Linked DNA regions of Drosophila melanogaster. The protein of the gene in region 2 interacts with the protein of the main gene of each other region in a pairwise test. Each region holds a gene or a part of one and is shown on either strand. Other genes may lie near its edges.

Region 1 (9,314 bases), on a different chromosome or scaffold from region 2:
ACTTGGTCTGAGATGTGATTTATGTTAGGTGCAAAGTTTTCCACAACTTTTTTCTGCCTCGAATTCATTCTTCTTTCCTCAGGTCTTATGTTTTATCCGTTTTCTTTTTCTTTTCTGTGTGTGTGTGTGTATGCTTTTTTTTTTGAGGGTGCAATGAACGCAAGTGCAGAAGATGACGATGACAATGAGGATGCACCAGTTGGGGAAGGTGTGAACGCAGAAAAAATTCGCTTAATTTGTCTAAAGAAAAGCCAAGAGCATGAAAATTTCCATTAAGAAAAATGGTGGCAAGTGTGGCAAGTGACAGGGAAAGCTCGACTTTAGCCCCAAGATTGTTGCAGGAGTAGCAGCAGCATAGCTGGAAAAACTTATCACAGTTGCTCGCTGGAATAATGAGAGCAATCAACAGGAAACTCCGGCAAAGAGATCAAATCAAATCAGAAGGAAGTGCCAAAAGGAGATGGCCGTAATGAAAGCAATCAAAGAAGCCGTTAGCAACTTTCAGGCGATCATTACACTACAAGTTTTTAATGAGCACAGCAGAAATTAATACAAGCAGGAACAGTACAAAACAAAATTTAAGAAATATATTATGCAAATTATTTTACCTGTACTTCGAATGCCAGTTAGAAAATCGATGATCGTGGGGGAAATGCCAAGCGAATCGGACGACATTTGATGCGCCTTCACCGCGAGTCTATCGAAAACTCCATTTATTCCATCAGAAGTCCAAGACATTTAGTCTATAAATAGCAAATGGTAAGAAACGCGCCTCCGCGCCGAAATAAATGCAAATCATCCGTCTGGACTCAAAACTGGAAAATAAAACAAAGATCGCCGCGTTTTCGACCACTTCTCACACCAAATTCAGAGGGCCATGGCGGCAGCAACATCAAGTTGCCGCTGCAACAAAAAAAACACCGCGCTTAGTTGCAACAATGGTCGCGACAACACTAACAATGCCAGCGATGGCAGCAGCAACAGCAACAACTGCTGCAGCAGCAGCAACATCCAATGCTGGTGGCAATAAAATGCGGCAATTACATAGTTGGCTATTCTAATTCACTCATTTTTAGCTTGAAAAAGGTGCGCCTGACTGGGGCTATTGGAATTTATTTTGGTTCTACAGCAACTGCAACACTAAAAGCAGCAACAGCAGCAGCGGCAGCAGCAACAACGTGCAACAAGCATCAACAGGTGATTCGCCTGAATGTTGCACGAAATGGGCAAAACAAATTCGAGGAAAAAATCATCTTAAATGCTTCTGCCGAAGAATTTGAGTCTGTTCTTTTAAATGTTAATTTTTTTTTTATTTCGTCTTCCACTTGCCTGCAACAATTCAATAAAGTTTAAAATGTCAACAGCTGGGCGACAGAAACGAGAAAAAATAAGTGAAATAATGCACAAATGGCTATTGAAGCCCACGAAATGTTTGACTAAGTTTTGCTTCCGTTTCGCATTGCTTTGGAGCCGGAGCCCTCGAGTGTCCACTTGATGAATTAAAAGCGGGAAATTTGCAAAACTTTATTACTTTGGACGTTTTGAAAAATGATCGAAATGCCGAAGAAACCGAGACTGCAACGGTGGCAACAGCTGCCGGCCGAAAGGCAATGACAGCGAAACAAAAGTTGCCCAATTGATGTCAAGTTATTGTTGAACAAATCAAAAAGGGAATTTTCAGCGCGGCCTTATATAATATCGAATTCGCCCCATCACACTGCTCTAATTACATTTTAAGTCGAAATCCTTTCGTAATCGCAGCTACCAACGATTGCACTTGATTTCGAGAGCGTCTCAAAAGAAATTTCAATTTGCCCCCAGAGTTTGCGATATGGGTAACAATCCCAACAATCCGAACAATCGGACCAGTTGGTAGTTTTCAGTTGCCAGTTGGCCCCGATTGTCGGCGGGTATTATGTTGTTAAGACATCGTTTTGACAGTACGTTCGCCTCCGCGTGAAGAAGACCGTTTGAGATACACACACACCACATACACACACGCGCGCACATGTGTATCCGCAGCTCAAGTGTCACGGAAATCTAAAGTTAAAAGTAACCAAAAGTTGTTCAATTACTTTTCACAGCGGTCCATTGAAGATTGCCAGCAGGTGTAAGCGGCGCTGATAGAGGTAACATCTTAGGTACACGAAATGTTACCTTGGAAAATGGGTACCAAACTAATAAAATCTAATAAAATTGCTTATAAAAATAAGATATTGAGATATTAGAGTATCTTTAAGATTGCAGCTATTGAAAACTAATACCATATCTAATATTACAAATATATAATATTATATTAATAATAGTTTTAGTCATAGCCCAGTGTAATTGGTAATAACATTTCGATTTTGGTACAAGATTTTCGCATCACTGATTATAAGATGGGTTGATTGTAAGTGTAGCTATTTTCGATTGATTGCTCCCCATAATAATTTCAATATCTAATTTTAATATCGCACGCACGCACACATCGCCACCTCGCAAGTGGTCAATAAAAATGTGAAGAAACTCTGAAATCAGTCATCGGATTGCTTTTAATTGTTATTTAATCTCGGCTCGTACAGAGGCGCTGTGATACATTCAAGGTTAATTGGTTATGGGATGGGATTTGAGGCCTGACGGAAGAAAAGGAGCCATGCGGTTGATGTTGGTTGGAAGGAGGAAGTTGGCCCAAAGGCACTCGACACGTCTGCCAGCCTTGTGCAATGGCCAATGGATGAGTTTCGGGGCCTCGGCTACGGATCTTTGGCATGAGCCTCACGTCATAGATTGCATTTTGGCAGAGGTGCTGCGGGAAATTGGGACGCCACATGAACACGTTTGTGCAGCTTGTGCAATTTTCCCCGGGCAACCGCATCACGTACTTCTCACCAAACTTATTCTATGTTCTGATGCTTTCCCAAAGGCCAAATGGCAAAAAAAAAAAAAAGAAGAAAAAACAAACAAAAATAAATATATAGATATTTCGAAAAAGGGCGACTGTATCTTTGGAGGCTAAAACGAAACCTATCATCTGACATTCCCAGTGACATTTTCGTATCGTCTCGATGGCAACTGCATCGCCCGAGGGCCCAGACTTCATAAAAGCTTGGCTTAAATATCAAATTTGGCCGAGTATTTAATGAAGTCATTCGGGGCGTTGCAGGCTCTCCACTCGAACTCATCTTGTTATACATCCGCCCGAGCTTCATCATCATCGTGCCAGCCATTCATTTATCATCTCGTTACCCATCATCGTAATGATCGTGCCACGGCGATGATCTGCAACATTTTTCACCACCTCAACACCAAGACTTGGCCAAAACGGTGAGAGCAACGCTGCGCTCTCTTTGGGCCATTCTGAGAGACTCGTGGATGTGGATGCTCTTGGCTCCAGCTCCACGGAGGCAGATGATCTAGAAGTTAGGCGCTAGACTTGCCTCAATTGTTCAAACCGCTTTTTCGTTACTTTTAGGTGCAGTTGGCAACGCGAACGCCGCTGCTACCGCCGCTGCCGCAGTCGCCGTCGCCGCCGACGTCGCTGCCAGCGTCTTTGAGCGTTTATTATAAAAAGCAAGCGCATCTCCATTGTCTAACCTAATTCAAAACGTTCGTGTACTTCGTGCGGTTGTCTAGGAAATCAATCTAGCCGAACCTAAAAAGATAAAACCACCTCCTCTTTAACTGAGGCCCCCTCCTAGTTGAGAAATCCAACCGGTGATAAAAAAATAAAACCCTCCCCCGCCCGGTGAAAGTAAGAGTTAATACAACTATTGTGGCAAGCGAAGGACTACAAATTAAATAGTGTGCAATAATCATAAAAATAACACAAAAGACACTCGATTAACTCGAAACAATATAAATGAAATAATTGACAACTCTAATGAATTTAATTTAATTCAATTCAATTTCAACTTCAGCCAGCGGCGTTTGTGGATACACTACTTTTTGCCATCGTCTGTGAACGTAAAATCGAAACTCAACTAACAAAATGATGTCCTTCAAGTCGTTCGTCCTGCTTGTGAGTATTTATACATACGTACATAAAACAAGGACATGTATTTCTGGGCCTGGAAAAAAAAAACATAGCTAAGCCTACATAAATCAGTTGGCCAAACAAATCATATGAGATTTCGCAGGCGTGTCCTTTGGCTAAAGCGAAACTATATATGTATGTATGTTTGCATGTATGTGTATGTGTGTGGAAAGGCCAGCAAGCTAAGCTTGTTATATGTCAAATTTGTTTATCGCTGGCAGGGAAAAATGACCCGTGGTCACTCAGTGTCCTTTTTCGTCTACAATGTCATTTTTCTGCTGCGGCTTTTGGGGAAAGTTTAAATGAGATTTGCTAGGAGAACTGAAGGCAACTACCCATCAAACTGGTTGTTTCAAGTGCCTGGCAAACTGTTTGCCTTCCTTTTTTTTCGTTTTTTTTTGGTAACACTTGCCGTCAATGGCAACGAAAATGATTGCATAACTTGCCACACGTCTGCCACAGAGCCTCTCATCATCATCATCATAATCAAAACCCAAGTCCACACACACACACACACGAAAGTCAAGTGGCGAAGGGGCCAAAGTAACCCCGCCGAATCGAACAAATTGCAAATAATCAAAGACACTTAAGTGCTCCACTCCGCTCTGGTTAATATATATATATATATATACATATGTACTTGTACGTACTCCTCCATGGATACGCATTCAATATTTGGCAACATCTGCGTTTGCCAAGTGCCACGTAAAATACGCCCCAAATCTAAGCAATACTCCCTGATTGTTCCTAACTAAACACTTGAGTTTCGGAGAAGGCTAAAAGGTTGTAAGGCGGAGGACACATGTTGGTAATATATTTCCCCTTTCGTATTTAGGCATCATCTGAGGAAAATTGCAAACCTTTTTGCTCCCCTTGAACAATTGCAAATATATAAGGCTCCAACTTGACTTTATTTTGTAGGCAAACTTTTCTTAGCTGGTGCTAAATTGACACAAGTTTTTTTTCATCAAATTGTTGAAAAATATACTTTATACTTTACTAATATAGTTTCGTAAAAATATTTATATAATTTGTTTCAAATTGCTGTAAATTGACACAGAAAGAGTTGTGCAACTAAGAAATTTCTAGGTGATCCAAAATCCTTTCTGTTACCTATTAATTTACACATTTCGCTTTGGAAATTCTCCATATTCTCACAATTTTATTGTGAAATTACAGTATTGAATACTTTTCCTGGAAGTCCAGAAGTTAACCCGCAATCAAGAGCACACTTGTAAACTGCGAAATACTTTCACTTGTTCGCCATTGTTAAAGCATTTTGAATCGCGTTTTGGGACGACGCCCTTAAGCAGGCAACAAAATAAAACAGACGCGAGTTTCGCTGGCTGCTCCTTGATGTCCTTTTATTTTTTGTAACTGGGGCGTGTTAAATTGTTGGTGCGACACTTGGATGCAATGCAGGTCCAGACGGCAGACCACACTGTCTGGAATCCATCCAATGTACCTCCGCCCATTCCGCGTTACGTGAGCACACAGGAGAAAAATTAGATTTCTTCAAAAACCAAAAGTGTCTAAAAAGATTGAGATATAAAATTATATTAATAGGTACTCAATGAAAGCCATTCAAATGTATGAAGATTTTCAAAGAAGACATAATCAATATCTAATTAAAATTTAATTGGTCATACATCATGTAATTACTCGAATGAATTTTTACGATTAACGTAATCGTGATTAATGGACGAGCATAACTAGTAGTTAAAATAAACGCAATATATATGCAATGTTTGAGGCCAAAGTGTTAGATCTTAAATGTTCTTCTATTAGCCATGTTTTTTTTCAGCGGTTTTTCTCGCAGTGCACTCCTCCATCTCTGATGCGTCTGGTCTGCCAAGCAGATAACTTCCAAAAGGTACACCAGACGATAGCAAAGGAATAGAGTTTGAGAGCAGAGTGTAGAACTCCAGCCAGACGCGTGTAATTTGCCGCTTGTAACTTTTTGACTTTTCACCAGCGATTCTCCATTTCCCCAATGCCGCTATATTCCCCTTATTTTCTTCTCCTTTTTTTTTACCATTCTTGTTTTGGCCCGAACTGGGCGAATAACAGCAGGCACGGAAGCGTACCAAGCCAAAAATAAAAACCAGGAGCCCAACCACCCACTGCCACATCCGCCCACCAAAAGGCAGACACTCGATAGACAAATGGCCGCTGGCCAGTCGAGTGCACGGGCTTTTGAGAACATCGGGGCGAGCATGTTTTACATGTTAATTTCAGCCCGGGGGAGACTCAACTGGCCAACTACCCAGCTAGCCAACTATAGGGTACAGAGTACGAATACGTCGAGCACCCACACCAGCTAGTAATGCCCAACTGCTGCTGCATATTAATGCCCATGATTCCAGCTGCTCATTTTCGCACGCGAAAATTGCAGAACTGGTGGCAAAGAATTCGAGAAACGATTGGTAGCATTGACTGGCATTCATTCGGGCACGCTTTTGAATTTCAAATGACAAACCTAAAATATTCACAGTTTGATATTTGAGTCCGTCCGATGATGGTGCTGCTGCTGCTGCTGCTGCTGATGATGATGATGAGCTGGCAAAAGCCGAAAGTCGAAGCTGCTAATTCTGCATTCTGCATTCTGCATTCCGCACTCTGCATTCTACAAATGCTGAATTGTTGCATTCGCCGGCCGCAGCGAATGGGCAATTGTGAATGCCGGCATGGGTCAATGCAATGCTGCCTCCGATTCTGATTAGAGCCGCCTGATTATGGCCAATATATCGCATGTCTGGCCAAAAGTCTTTCATTGGCTCATCGCTGCACTGCTGGCGATTCGAGTGTAAGCGATTGCCCAATGAATGTTGGATGTGTGGAGGGTATTTCAAAGGGATATTTGCATTTCGTTGGGCTCCTGCTAAAATTCTACAAATTATCAAATTATCAATAGAAGTTGCACATCCGTGAATCCAAATATTTCAAACAACAAGCCCATTATTATTTTTATAAACTTCCAATTTATAGCAGCGTATTCCCCCATTCGTCATTTCGCACAGGCTCTACCCTTGCATTACAAATTCAATTTTAATTGAAATAATTTGGCAGATTTGCCAGATTTCGCTTGATGCCGATTGGCATTGCCTCAAAGCTGATCCGTGCTTAGGTAATTGAGCCCGGGGGTCGTCGAATGGGCGCTCAGACCCATTCTTCTGCCTTGGAAGTATGCAATTTTGCGGCTTCACCGATATTTGCTGTAGCTTTGTGCGGTTTTATTGTCTTTGGCAATGGCTCGAATGCGGGGGGGAAAAAAAATCCAAGCGAAGAAAACCCAAATGGCAAAAAATTAATGACGCTTGAGCAAGCGGCAAGTGCAGCAGCATATATGTAGTATGAGTTGGATGAGGGGCTTCTGCGGGGAAATGGTAACCAGCCAAGCATCTGCGCCTTTGTGTGTGTGTGTGTGTGTTTGTGTGGTAATCTAATTAAATCGAAATTTCAGCTGATTACAAAAGCCCAGCCTCCGCCTCTGAATTCGCTAATTGCCCAACCAAAACCAGAGCGTCCAACGTGGCGTATGCGCAATGTGAATAAGAGGCATTTCTCCTCCGTTTCCCTTAGGCAAGGAATTTTTAATTGCACTATTCTGGCTGCAAGTGTTATTTCGTCGGCGCTTTTGTGGGTCCACAACAGCTGGCAATTGGAAAATTAGTTCACTGGGGTTTTTAACCGAAATTCTAGCATTTAAATGGCAGAGAAATAGTTCTGGAAAAAGTTGTACTTGGTTTTTAGTGTGCAACAATTTCGGTAGTTGTGGTTTCTGCACAACAATTTTGGCTTAAAAAAAGCTCATAATTTTCATTCGATTTGGATTTTTTGTTATACATCAAATGGTTATACCAAAACTATAAGCATAGAAACTAAAAACTAATTAAATCCATAATTCAACCATAATACCACATTTACCTAATAATCGGTTTTTATGAGACAAAAAAGCTCCCACATAGTTTTTATAACATTTTAAGTAATTGCACATGAACAGCTTGCAAATGCATAGTTGGTCATAAACAACTACTTGAAGTATTCGATCGTAGCATATAATTTATAAGTTTTTTCTCACCCGTTTTTTGGGTATTTGAAAGGTTAATATCTTTATGGACAGCCGGCGGCTTTTGTGCATTGAAGTGTGTTATTTAATTCGGGTTAAATAGGGTTAATGTAGTGTAGAAGAGGAACATACTAGCTGAAGATCTGCCGATAAACAGGCGAAAAGAAATTGACTTATCACAGGTGAATCCCCAAGGAGGCCCAAGTCGTGAGACAAGCTGGCCAACCTTTGATCTTTGGCATTGTCCTTGTATCCAGCGGGCACGTGACTCTGTGACAAACAGCTGGAAACATTGGGTGCAAATTGCACAAGGAAAGCGCAAAGAGCTGATTGAAATCGAATCTGAGTTGCCAGCAAGTTGCAAGTTGCCAGTTGCTAGTTGCAAGTTGCAACAAAAGACTCAAGCGGCGAACTGAAAAACTGCAATAAAAGTCATTTCCCATTGCAAGCTCTCTTCTCCCGCCGCCGCCTGCCATTCACTTGGCCCATTAACTTTTATTTTGCCAAATTTGCATTTCAATGCCCCCAAACGAGGGGGAGAGCAGCTTGGAAACACAAAAAAAAAAGCAAAAACCGCACAGCAACATGCAACATGCAACAGAGCAGCAAAAGCGATGCAGATGTAGATGGCGATGAAAAGGTCAACCAAATGTTTGTTGTTCTACTGAACGAGTCGCGACGCGAAGTCGTGTCGTGTGTTGCAAGTGCATGTTAATCTAACATCTATGTAGGGGACTTTTTTCGGTTGTGCTGCTCTGGTAATTGCTGGGAAGCAGCTGCGGTGAGATACGGCACAACAAAAAAAATGTGCAAAAATTCCATAAATTAAGACAACATGGCATCCATAAGTAGGAAGCCAGCCAAACCTCATCATCGACCCACGAGTGGGCGTTGCAGAATGCTGCTGGAGTTTTCTAGGGGTGCCGCCGCTCCAAAATGATGCAACTCTTGTAAAATCCATCTATGTATCTATACATATATGTGCTTCCATTCCCCGATGACGTCTTAATAACAGCCCGAAAAAAACAAACAACAAACAAAATGCCATTGCAGCAAGATCTGAAAGCAACATCTAAACTCTTTTCCCAGACAGGGGGACCAATTAAATTAATTAAACAAATGCAACTGCAGCGACACATCCGACCATCTGGATTTTTATGAAGACATTTTGGCGTAAACGTTTTTATTGCCCACCATAAACTATTGCGATCCGATCCGATGCGATCGGCT
Region 2 (9,348 bases):
TCAATGTAGACGAAGGCGGTTCGGTGCCTATTAAGTTGGATTTCTCAAAGATTTTGGAGTATCTGAAAACGAAAGCTGGCATAAATAACCCTGAGTTGTTCATAGAAGCCATCCAAAAACCCACACACGGCAATATTGGTCTGGGTCATGAGTTCAAGCATATGCAGAGATACCACCCAAGCGATTTCTTTACCAAAAAAGTCTACTACATACACGATCATTCGGACACTTTGGAGGATACTATACTGATGTCGGTTTACCTGACACAAGGGTGAGTCTTCCTTAAATTTCACTTAAGTAAACAGTTATTGTAATAAGATACGTTTTCATTTCAGGAACATTTTTCTGTGCAATTTGACAATTCCCGTTTCCATCAACCCCATTAACGATCAACCCTTCCATTTGGTCACCCACCTGCCCCAAATGACAGTCGTTGAGGGTGAGAATCGGACTATCACCAGAAATGATTTGCTAACCGAAGATGCAGATACACCTCCTGAAGAAATTATATACGATGTGATGAGTGGTCCTACTTTGGGGGTACTTAGAAAGATCACAAACGATGGACGCCCTGAGGATCTATTAGCTTTCTCCAATCAGTTTACCCAAGCTGATATTAACAACGATCGCATTATATATGTCCACTTTGGAATGCCACAGTCCACGACGTTTTGCTTCACCGTATCCGACGGGCAATCAAATCCTGCATACGAAATATTTACCATTAAAATAGATTCTATTCATCTGCAACCGTCAGCAATGCAAGCACCAGTGAAGGTTCAGCAAGGAGCTACTACTGCTCCAATGAGATTGGATCATATTGGAGTGTCCACAAATGTGCATATGGAAAGGTTGTCTTACAACGTCACAAACTCGCCGCTTTTTGGCATTATAGTGTACAAACATCAACCAACTCTGAGGTTCACGCAACAACAGTTGGAAACATCACAGATAAGCTATATGCAAACAGACCTGAACCGATCGAATGACTCCTTCCAGGTGAGTGCCTATGTTCCGGGCACCAATTATGTTGCTCAGGTCGATGTGGTAATGGAGGTGGAACCTGTAATACAAATCAATGATATAGTAATGAAGGAAGCTGAATCCTCGGGTGGTAAAATAAAGCTTATTACCTCTTTGGACAACGATAATCCTTTGTCGTTGAAACTAAATAAATTCAACCCCAAGTTTGTGATCACTAGAATGCCATCAACTGGGCAAATCAGAAAGATAATCCGAAGCACGGGACTGACAACCGATGGCCAGAGTGATAGATCCACGAATATATTCTCTTATAAAGAACTTCGAAGTGGCGTCGTCTACTTTGTGCCCCATGAATCGGTCGAGGAAACAGAAGCTGATCATGACAGTTTTGATTATCAATTGCTAATCAAAACAGTTCAGCCGGCACAGGCCACCGTATCGATTGAGTATAGAAGTCGTGTTGAGGAAACCGAGACGGTTCATTTGGGCAGTGCAGGATTATCCATTAACTATTTAGCCATAGGATGTGCCATCTTTATCGTGTTGATATGCCTGCTTATCGTGCTGTTGATATTAAAGATCAGGAAACTGAGAAAGCACAAGGCAGATATATCCAAGGATCAGCCGCCGGCGCTACCGTGTCCACCAGACTTGACTTCTGTGAGTCCGCAACACCATCTGCACCATCATCATGGCCACCATTACGCAAGTTCCGAGGCGGATTCCGTGCCGGCCACAGGAAATTCAACACCGTTACCGGGTTTCAGCAATATTCCCCATTGCAAGATAATACCCGTGGAGTCGTACAAACATGAGTATCCCGACTACGATCCCGATGAGGAGGAGACGGACGATCAGTGCGATCCGCAGCAAATGATGCTGCCGCAGAGATATAATCCTTATCACATGGAGCACGACGCCTGGAGTTCGTCCTGCGATATGGCGAATGATTTTGCTGGCTATGCCTCTGTGCCACAAAGTATTTCCGGATCGGTCAGCTCACCGCCCTCGGCCCCGCCAACAAATCCACTACTTAGGCGGAATCAGTATTGGGTGTAAGGTTTAGAAGGATGTTCTGCAATAAAGGGATCAATACAAGCGTTTCCAATTCGATCGGAATTAGTCCTAGGTTATTTATTTAAATATAAGCTTACGTTTAAGGCTGATTTATGAGATTCGTTAGGAAAAGTGAAGCATTTTATATACGAAAACATTAATTATAGTTTGGAAACAAGCACACATACATATCTGGCGTGTCATATACAAACGATTAGCATTAAGGACGAGAACAAGAGTTATACTCAAAAAGCCAACTTAACTTAGCCTTAGAATTGTGTTTGCCAACGTGGAATACTTTTTACAATAAATGACAATACTTTTAAGCGTAGTTCCCGTGTCTTATTTCAAAACTCAAAAAATTTTCAGGAAGATTTATTTCGCATTCGTAATTATTTTAACCGGATGGAAGTGTGTTGAGAAACGTTTGTGGTGATTGCGAATGAATTGGTTTTCCCCCATATTACCATTTACAAAACTTTTCCACATAAAAAACTTAACATGATAATAAATTGAACATTATAAATATATTTCTTAACAGTTATAAATATGTCTCTTCGTTCATAGTTGTGATGTTGTAAGTATTTTCGTTGCTTTAAGGAAAATATTAAAGTAAAGAGAAAAAAGTTCCTTTACATATAATTTCATACAGATCGAATATAAGTTTTCAGGGCCACATTGGGTTATCAAAAATATGTCCCAACATATATAAACCTATTAATTAAGGTTTATATTCTACAGATATGCGTATATATTCCATATTGATAGAAGACTTCTTGCTTAATAACTATGAAAAATATCACTAGTTTTAATGTGGTGCACATTTTGCTTTCGCTGGACTGATTTAGAAGTAAGAGTTTTCAAGTACTTGTATGGCCTTAGAAAGCGACGGGAATCGTCGCTGCTGAGGGTTTCTCGGAAACCGGCGTTACGACCATGGCCTGATTATCGTATCCGTATCCGATCTCCGTCATAACCGTTGTGGGCGTGGTACTGTTTTCCGCCGGATAGCGAGTGCTCACCGGCGTTGTCATAGTCACAACGGAACCCTCGGCAGCACCTGTAATAAATCATTGCAGGTATAATGTGTACATTGGGAAGTGTTATTGGAAAAACCCGGACAGGTAGATCCTTACACTTACCTGCCACACTGTAGATCTGTGATTGTGCCCGCTCAAGGTCGCTGCCGGGATGGTTAATGGCATTCAGATTCTGTATGGTGGTAGCATTAAGATCCTTTCCATTTGCAGTTGCCGGATGAGGGTAGGCCTTCGATTGGAGACGGCGCATCAGCTTCTGGAAGCACCGATTGCCTATCAGCCATCGAAGGAACTGAAACGCGCAACGAAGCGCAATCAGGACGAGAAGGATAGTCAGCAGCAAGAGGATCAGCTGCTGGGTATTCTGGATGTCCAGCATCTCGGCTTTTAACGGCTCAAATGTCTTGTAAGCTGTGGGTTGATAAAGAAATTAAATAATATCGCTACTATTATCGTTTTAAGTAAATAATAATTGATAAAACACGGGAACGTTTTTGATAACTCGTTGTACATAGTCAGATAAAAATTGCAAATGCAACTGGCCTTATCTTGCCATTACAACTTTTACAAATCTTTTACACTAAAAAAATTATTATAAAGCTAGTTTCAACAAATCATTTTTATTATAAAAATGTACATTCTTTAAATCTTTAAAATACCCCCTATTTTAGTCAACTCATGGGTGATGAGTTAATCACCCGCTGAAGCAACTGTAATTGAAATACAATTAAGTCCAGCTGGAAAAACCTGAACTTGCATAGAACCCGCCAAATTACCCTATGGATCGTGAGTTAATCTGAGGTAATCTTTTGGAAATCTTTGAATTCTACTTGCCTGAACATTCCTTGGCGCACAGAAACGCATCGTAGTTGTGGGTTTGATTATTGCAGACCTCGATGCACGGATGACATCTCTCCGTTGCAACATAGCAAAATTCATTGACCGGATGACAGATCGTGCCATGGCAATCCCTACTCTCTCCATTGGCCGCAGCTACCAAGGAAACACTTGGAATCAACGGAACTCCACCAATGGAGAGCGATAGGGCACTCAACTTCCTGACCGACATTTGAGGTATTTTATAATGTGTGCTTAATTTACTTGTTATGGGTATTTGGTTTTGTAGCGAGCTCGTTCCGCTAAGTTTGATCGAAGTTTACATTAGCACTGTTACAACTTTTTCCTCGTTTTAAGGTTTTTGTTTTGTTATTTTTAAACGTATCCAAAGTATGATTCATACACCAGTAACGCGGCCCAGACGCTAACTGACTAACTTCTTTTTTAATTGCTGGCTTCTGGAGTCTGAGTATTTTGCGTTGCCCTTATACGTATAATCACATGTGTATTGGTGCAAACGAGTTTATCTTAGCCAAGTTTTACAGCAGTTTTCATAGTATTCCGGTTAGTTTCTCAACATTTTCACACATTTTTCTAGGGGATGTCCGGACACTTAATTATTAGGTTTAATTCTGTATTTTTTACACCAATATATTATATATTATATGATTTAATACGCTTTTTAACTTTAAACGTTTTTAGCCATCGTTCAGCGACGCGTTTTGAGCCACATTCAACTCGTTACTGACTGGAATGCCGCGATCGCTCGCTGTTACCAACAACTCAGCACTCGCACCGAGGCATCTATCTCAAATACACACTCATTCGCACCGTGACTTGACTTTTGTTTACCTTTTTCACGTCGATTGTAGATGCAAAAGTATCTGTATATCTATGCTGTGGCAAGTAATACAAGTATTTGTGTGTCTGCGATCGACTGTTTATTTTGCGCTATGAGTGAAATACTCCCGACTTCGGCATACTTTGAACCCGGCTTCAGTTTCTTAAATTTCGGCTGCGATTTGACTTATAAAAATAAATAACAACGAGAAGGTAGTGCCTCAAGAAGTATTTTATAGAGACTACTTGCTCACTCACTTTATTACCCAAGTTATCAATTAAAATAATAATAAAGTTTTATATGAATAAACGACAATATGTTTAAGATAACTTTTATTGAAATTCCCAGTATCCCAATATGAACTATACGTTTAAAGTTTTTTTTACAACATTACCTATTATTTAAATTTTAATTATAATACCTTACTTTCACAACTAACTAGCAGTCGTGATATTTATAAACAAGTTTCTAGCTACACAATTTTTATCTAATTAAATATGATTTTGGAATTTTTTAAGTGTAGCATTTGTTGAGGATTGAAACCTCGCTTAGCTAACGCAATGGTGTATGTCTTTACTAAACAGCAAATGCCATATACATAAATAAAAGAAATACTGAAATTCGTTGCTCCCAACTCATTTTGGAAAATTAAATAATAATAAAAAACCATATGTACATATATACCGTTTAATGAATTTATAAATCAATAGTAAAATTATAACTTTTTGTATTTAGATTTGAAATCTTTTTGAAACTTGGCAGCACTGTTTTGAGTTATTCTCTCTCCTCTCTCTTATTCTCTCTTCCATTGCAGTGCCGCTTTCGAGATACATTTGTATCGGCTTCCAGTTCCAGCGCCGCTTGCAGTATTATTGTGTCTTCCAGTTAGCTGGACTGTATGGCCAAGTCAAACAACATCCATTCGCTGAGCGGCTTTCGCTGTTGAATGAGCTGTTTTGCTGCTTTCGTGGAACGACGGCCGCCGGTTCGTTGCGTATCTTTGGGATACAATACCTAAATCAAATCGAATTTTGAATTGCAGCTGTCGTTGTTGCGCGCGTGTTGATGGTGGAAATTGTGGAATTATAAGCATTATATCTCGTGTGGAAGTGTGAAAGTGAAATAGTTGCACCGAGAGCGACGCAATTAGATGAAAATATAGTTTACTCACGCTCTGTATCGCCGCATCTATGTATCTATTTTGCCAGCCCGCTTCAACAAGTAAACCAACATAAATTAAAAATCAGTGGAGTGGAAGGCGCGTCCTTGAGCTACCCAATTTAAACACCTGTTTTAGAACGAGATACAGATATTCTATAGAGATTTGAGCCACCGAAAGAGACAGCCAGAGCCTGTTAGAAAGAGAAGGGTGGCGAGAGGAGGAGAGAGATGAATAATTTCACAACCACAACAGCAGCCGCACCACCAAAGGAAGCGCTGCCCCGATCAGGACATGTTAATGAGGGTAAGCATGGGTTAAGAACCGAACCGAAGCAAACCATTTCGAAATTGGTTGAACATGAACAATTTCGTACGGGGCCTTGGATAATTGGAAATTGATTGGGTTTGAGTGTAGCTATTGAGATGAAGGGGCTTTGGAATTGGGGCGGGGGGGGCATGAGCACCACATAGAAGTGATTAATTTGAGGTCTTTTAAAATTCCTCTTCAACGTTTTCTTCCCCTGACTTGGTATTTCTTTAACGATATGACCTCTCTAGCGATCAAATTAATTTTTAACAAATTTGTTGTATTTGTTGTCATTTATTGTTTCCATTTATTCATAAAGAAAGTCAGGCCCATTGTTTCGTTGAGAATTCTTCACAAAAAGTTCATTAAATATATATTGTCTTTACCCTTCTTGCAAAATTGAATATAAATCAAATTTGGAAATTAAACAAATATTTTTGTCTAATATATGCAAATATAAAAGGTTTTAGTCCACACATTTTATTCAATTTGGCATTTCTTTCAAGACATCACGAATTATAAATGTTCTAACGCTTTTCATACCCCATTCCAATATACATATCCCATTAATTCCACCGATCCGATATCTTTGAATGCCGACATCAGCCAAAAAAAAAAAACAAACACTCAAGTTCTCAGAACTTCTCCACTGTCGTTTGCGCCTTGGGGCTTAAATATAAGTTTTTTTCTGTTGATTCAGATGTAAACAAGCCATATCGAGCACGTTTTCCCTTATCGCATTCTACTTGACCTTATGTAATAATCAAAACATTTGCATAGAAAAAATGTTACAACATGAAAAGCTAGCTTATTCACCTCTTTGAATAAGCTCAATTAATTGAAAGCGAATACGAAATGCTCGATGACAAAGATTTGGCTGTTGTGCAAATCTCTTTTTTGGCTACTATGTGAACAATATTTGTTGTTATGCTAATGAAACAGATTGCCCAAAGAAGAAAAAATAATACACAGAAAACGCGAGCCGAATAAAACTTTCTCCACTCCCAGTAACAATCACAAGAAGTTGGCGAGTTTCCTCATTTTTTGGGGGGTTTTGAAAGTCTTCATGAGACGATAAACAAAAACAAAGACTTCCAGTCAGCAGCCGAAGAAACCGCATAGCGCAGACCAACGACCGAAAGCGGACAAAGCTGTGAAGAAGAGATTTCAGTTGAAAAATAAACAAACACCGAGCTCTTATATAGTTTTCTTTTAGAGCAATTGAGGGGAAGCCGAGCGATCCCCGCTACAGAAAGGGAAAATACATACTCATTTTCTTCTTTTTGGAGGTGCAAAAAATGATTGCCGCTAGCACTTTCCATTTAATGAATGCACCTGAAGAAAAATCAGTTATCTACCATTATAAAGATTTTGTTTTATAAAAGTATATACACATTATACTAGTCTAATTATATATATTGTAAAATAATGATTACAATAGAAGCGCAAATAGGGTAGGAAAAAATAAGTAATACTTGAAGATAAAATTCCAGCTTGATTAATAATAATAATATTTTCAGAAAAGATTTTATTCTTTATGTGTAAAGAAAATCTCGTTGAACTCAGAAATGTATTAAATAAGGTTTATATTAAAAATATGTTTGCTAATTGTTTTCAAAAAACTGTGGCTATTTGAAGAACCATAGACCACCGAATTCGATAAGTTTTTCGCACAGTGCAGAAATGCAAAAAGGCTGTTTCCCAGCATTTGTATCTTAAAGATGCAGCGCGTGCAGCAGGCAACAGCTGACGGTTAGCCGAGGGGATTGCAGCCGCTTCATTTGCGCCCAAGCACGCATGACAAAAGACCCCCACAAAGAGTCGGCCCTTGGTTGGAAATAGCCGTGCCTCCGACTGAAACTTACTCAACTGCTGGCCTCTTTTTTCCCTTTTTTTTTTTGCCAACCAGCCCGACTGACTGACAAGTGAAGGGGCTTCTTGATGAAGAGGGGGCCAGGATAGAAAGGGGATATCGGGGAGCAGCAGCCCCAGCGGCAAGAGAAACAGCAGCAGTTGCATGACGAGCCGCCTGAATGCAGTTTATTTCTTTCTTGCATTTTTATCGCTGCATGCCAGGAATGATTCACTTGCCAGGCCACGATGACAGGATGTGCGAGTGCCAGGAAGGAGGTCTCATCCATTTGGACTTGGCTCTTAAAATTTCTATGGCGATAGCACTTAAAGGAGGCCCAAGCCCCACTCAGCTCCTCTCCTTATTATGGCGCTTTGTCATGACTTGACTTGCGTTGGCCTACAAACAACAATTTTTCAAGAAGCCCAAATAATGGAGTTACCAAGGAGTCCACCCCAAGTGCTGGTGTTTACAAATGAAAGTATGAATAACTAAATTGAGCTATGCAGAATATTTCACTTGCAACTAAGACACAAATTTAGGTAGTGACAAAAATACTGTGGGATTACTTGCTGCCACTTTCAGAACGAGAAACATATTCAGGATTTGTTACTTTAAATGTATGTTTGAAAAACTGAATATAGTCTCAGGTATATGTTTTTCTTGTATCATAGCTCATGCCAGAAATGTGACTCATACGTTTAGAGCTAAGAGCTGATAATATGTAAGGAATAAATATTTACAAAATATTTATTGATGTTTACAAAGTAAAAAATAAATAACTACAAATATTTTAAGGCAAACTCTGAAAGCATACAGTTTCAAGCTGTCAGACTAAAAAGCAAACTTCCTCATTTTAAAAGCAGTGAAAGCTTGACTGGCTCAATTCATAAGTATCGTAGCATGAAACCGAAATAAAGCTAATTTGGGCATTATTTTGTTGCCACAACACCGCACTTGGATAGACAATTATTGGCCTTTCTGCTTTGGATATGCATAACTTGGCCCACGAGTGCCTGAGAGGCAATTCAATCAATCAGCGGCAACCTAAACTGAACCCGAAATGTGAGTTCATTTGAATGAACTGAATGAATTGAATTCGGGAGATGATGCAGCCAGGCTAAGGCCAATGTGAGGCTGGCTAAATATACTGCCGGTGTGTATCCGTATCTGTATGTGTGTGCCGTATCTGTATCTGTCAGATGCAACATTCAAATAGTCAACATTGCAGGCCGCATTTCTCGTCCAGTGGCAGTGGCATGTTCAACAA

What was found.
Region 1: the proteins of grnd (region 2) and Cpr50Cb interact in a two-hybrid assay, tested with the Drosophila melanogaster proteins (one large-scale study listed by BioGRID).

Annotation. Positions count from the first base shown.
Region 1 is NT_033778.4:13,791,206-13,800,519, forward strand, and holds the start of Cpr50Cb (cuticular protein 50Cb), read left to right. Parts: upstream 1-3,571; 5' UTR 3,572-3,733; intron 3,734-3,899; 5' UTR 3,900-3,970; coding exon 3,971-4,000; intron 4,001-9,314.
Region 2 is NT_033779.5:18,480,769-18,490,116, reverse strand, and holds grnd (grindelwald), read right to left. Parts: upstream 4,701-9,348; 5' UTR 4,150-4,700; coding exon 3,915-4,149; intron 3,492-3,914; coding exon 3,183-3,491; intron 3,101-3,182; coding exon 2,919-3,100; 3' UTR 2,096-2,918; downstream 1-2,095. Other genes in the region: kon (kon-tiki), read left to right, coding at 1-271, 336-2,043; CG10283 (uncharacterized protein), read left to right, coding at 6,148-6,223. UniProt on the Drosophila melanogaster protein: Acts as a receptor for TNF-cytokine egr. Plays a role in activation of JNK signaling and is required for egr-induced apoptosis, including in wing imaginal discs during development. May also play an egr-independent role in cell proliferation.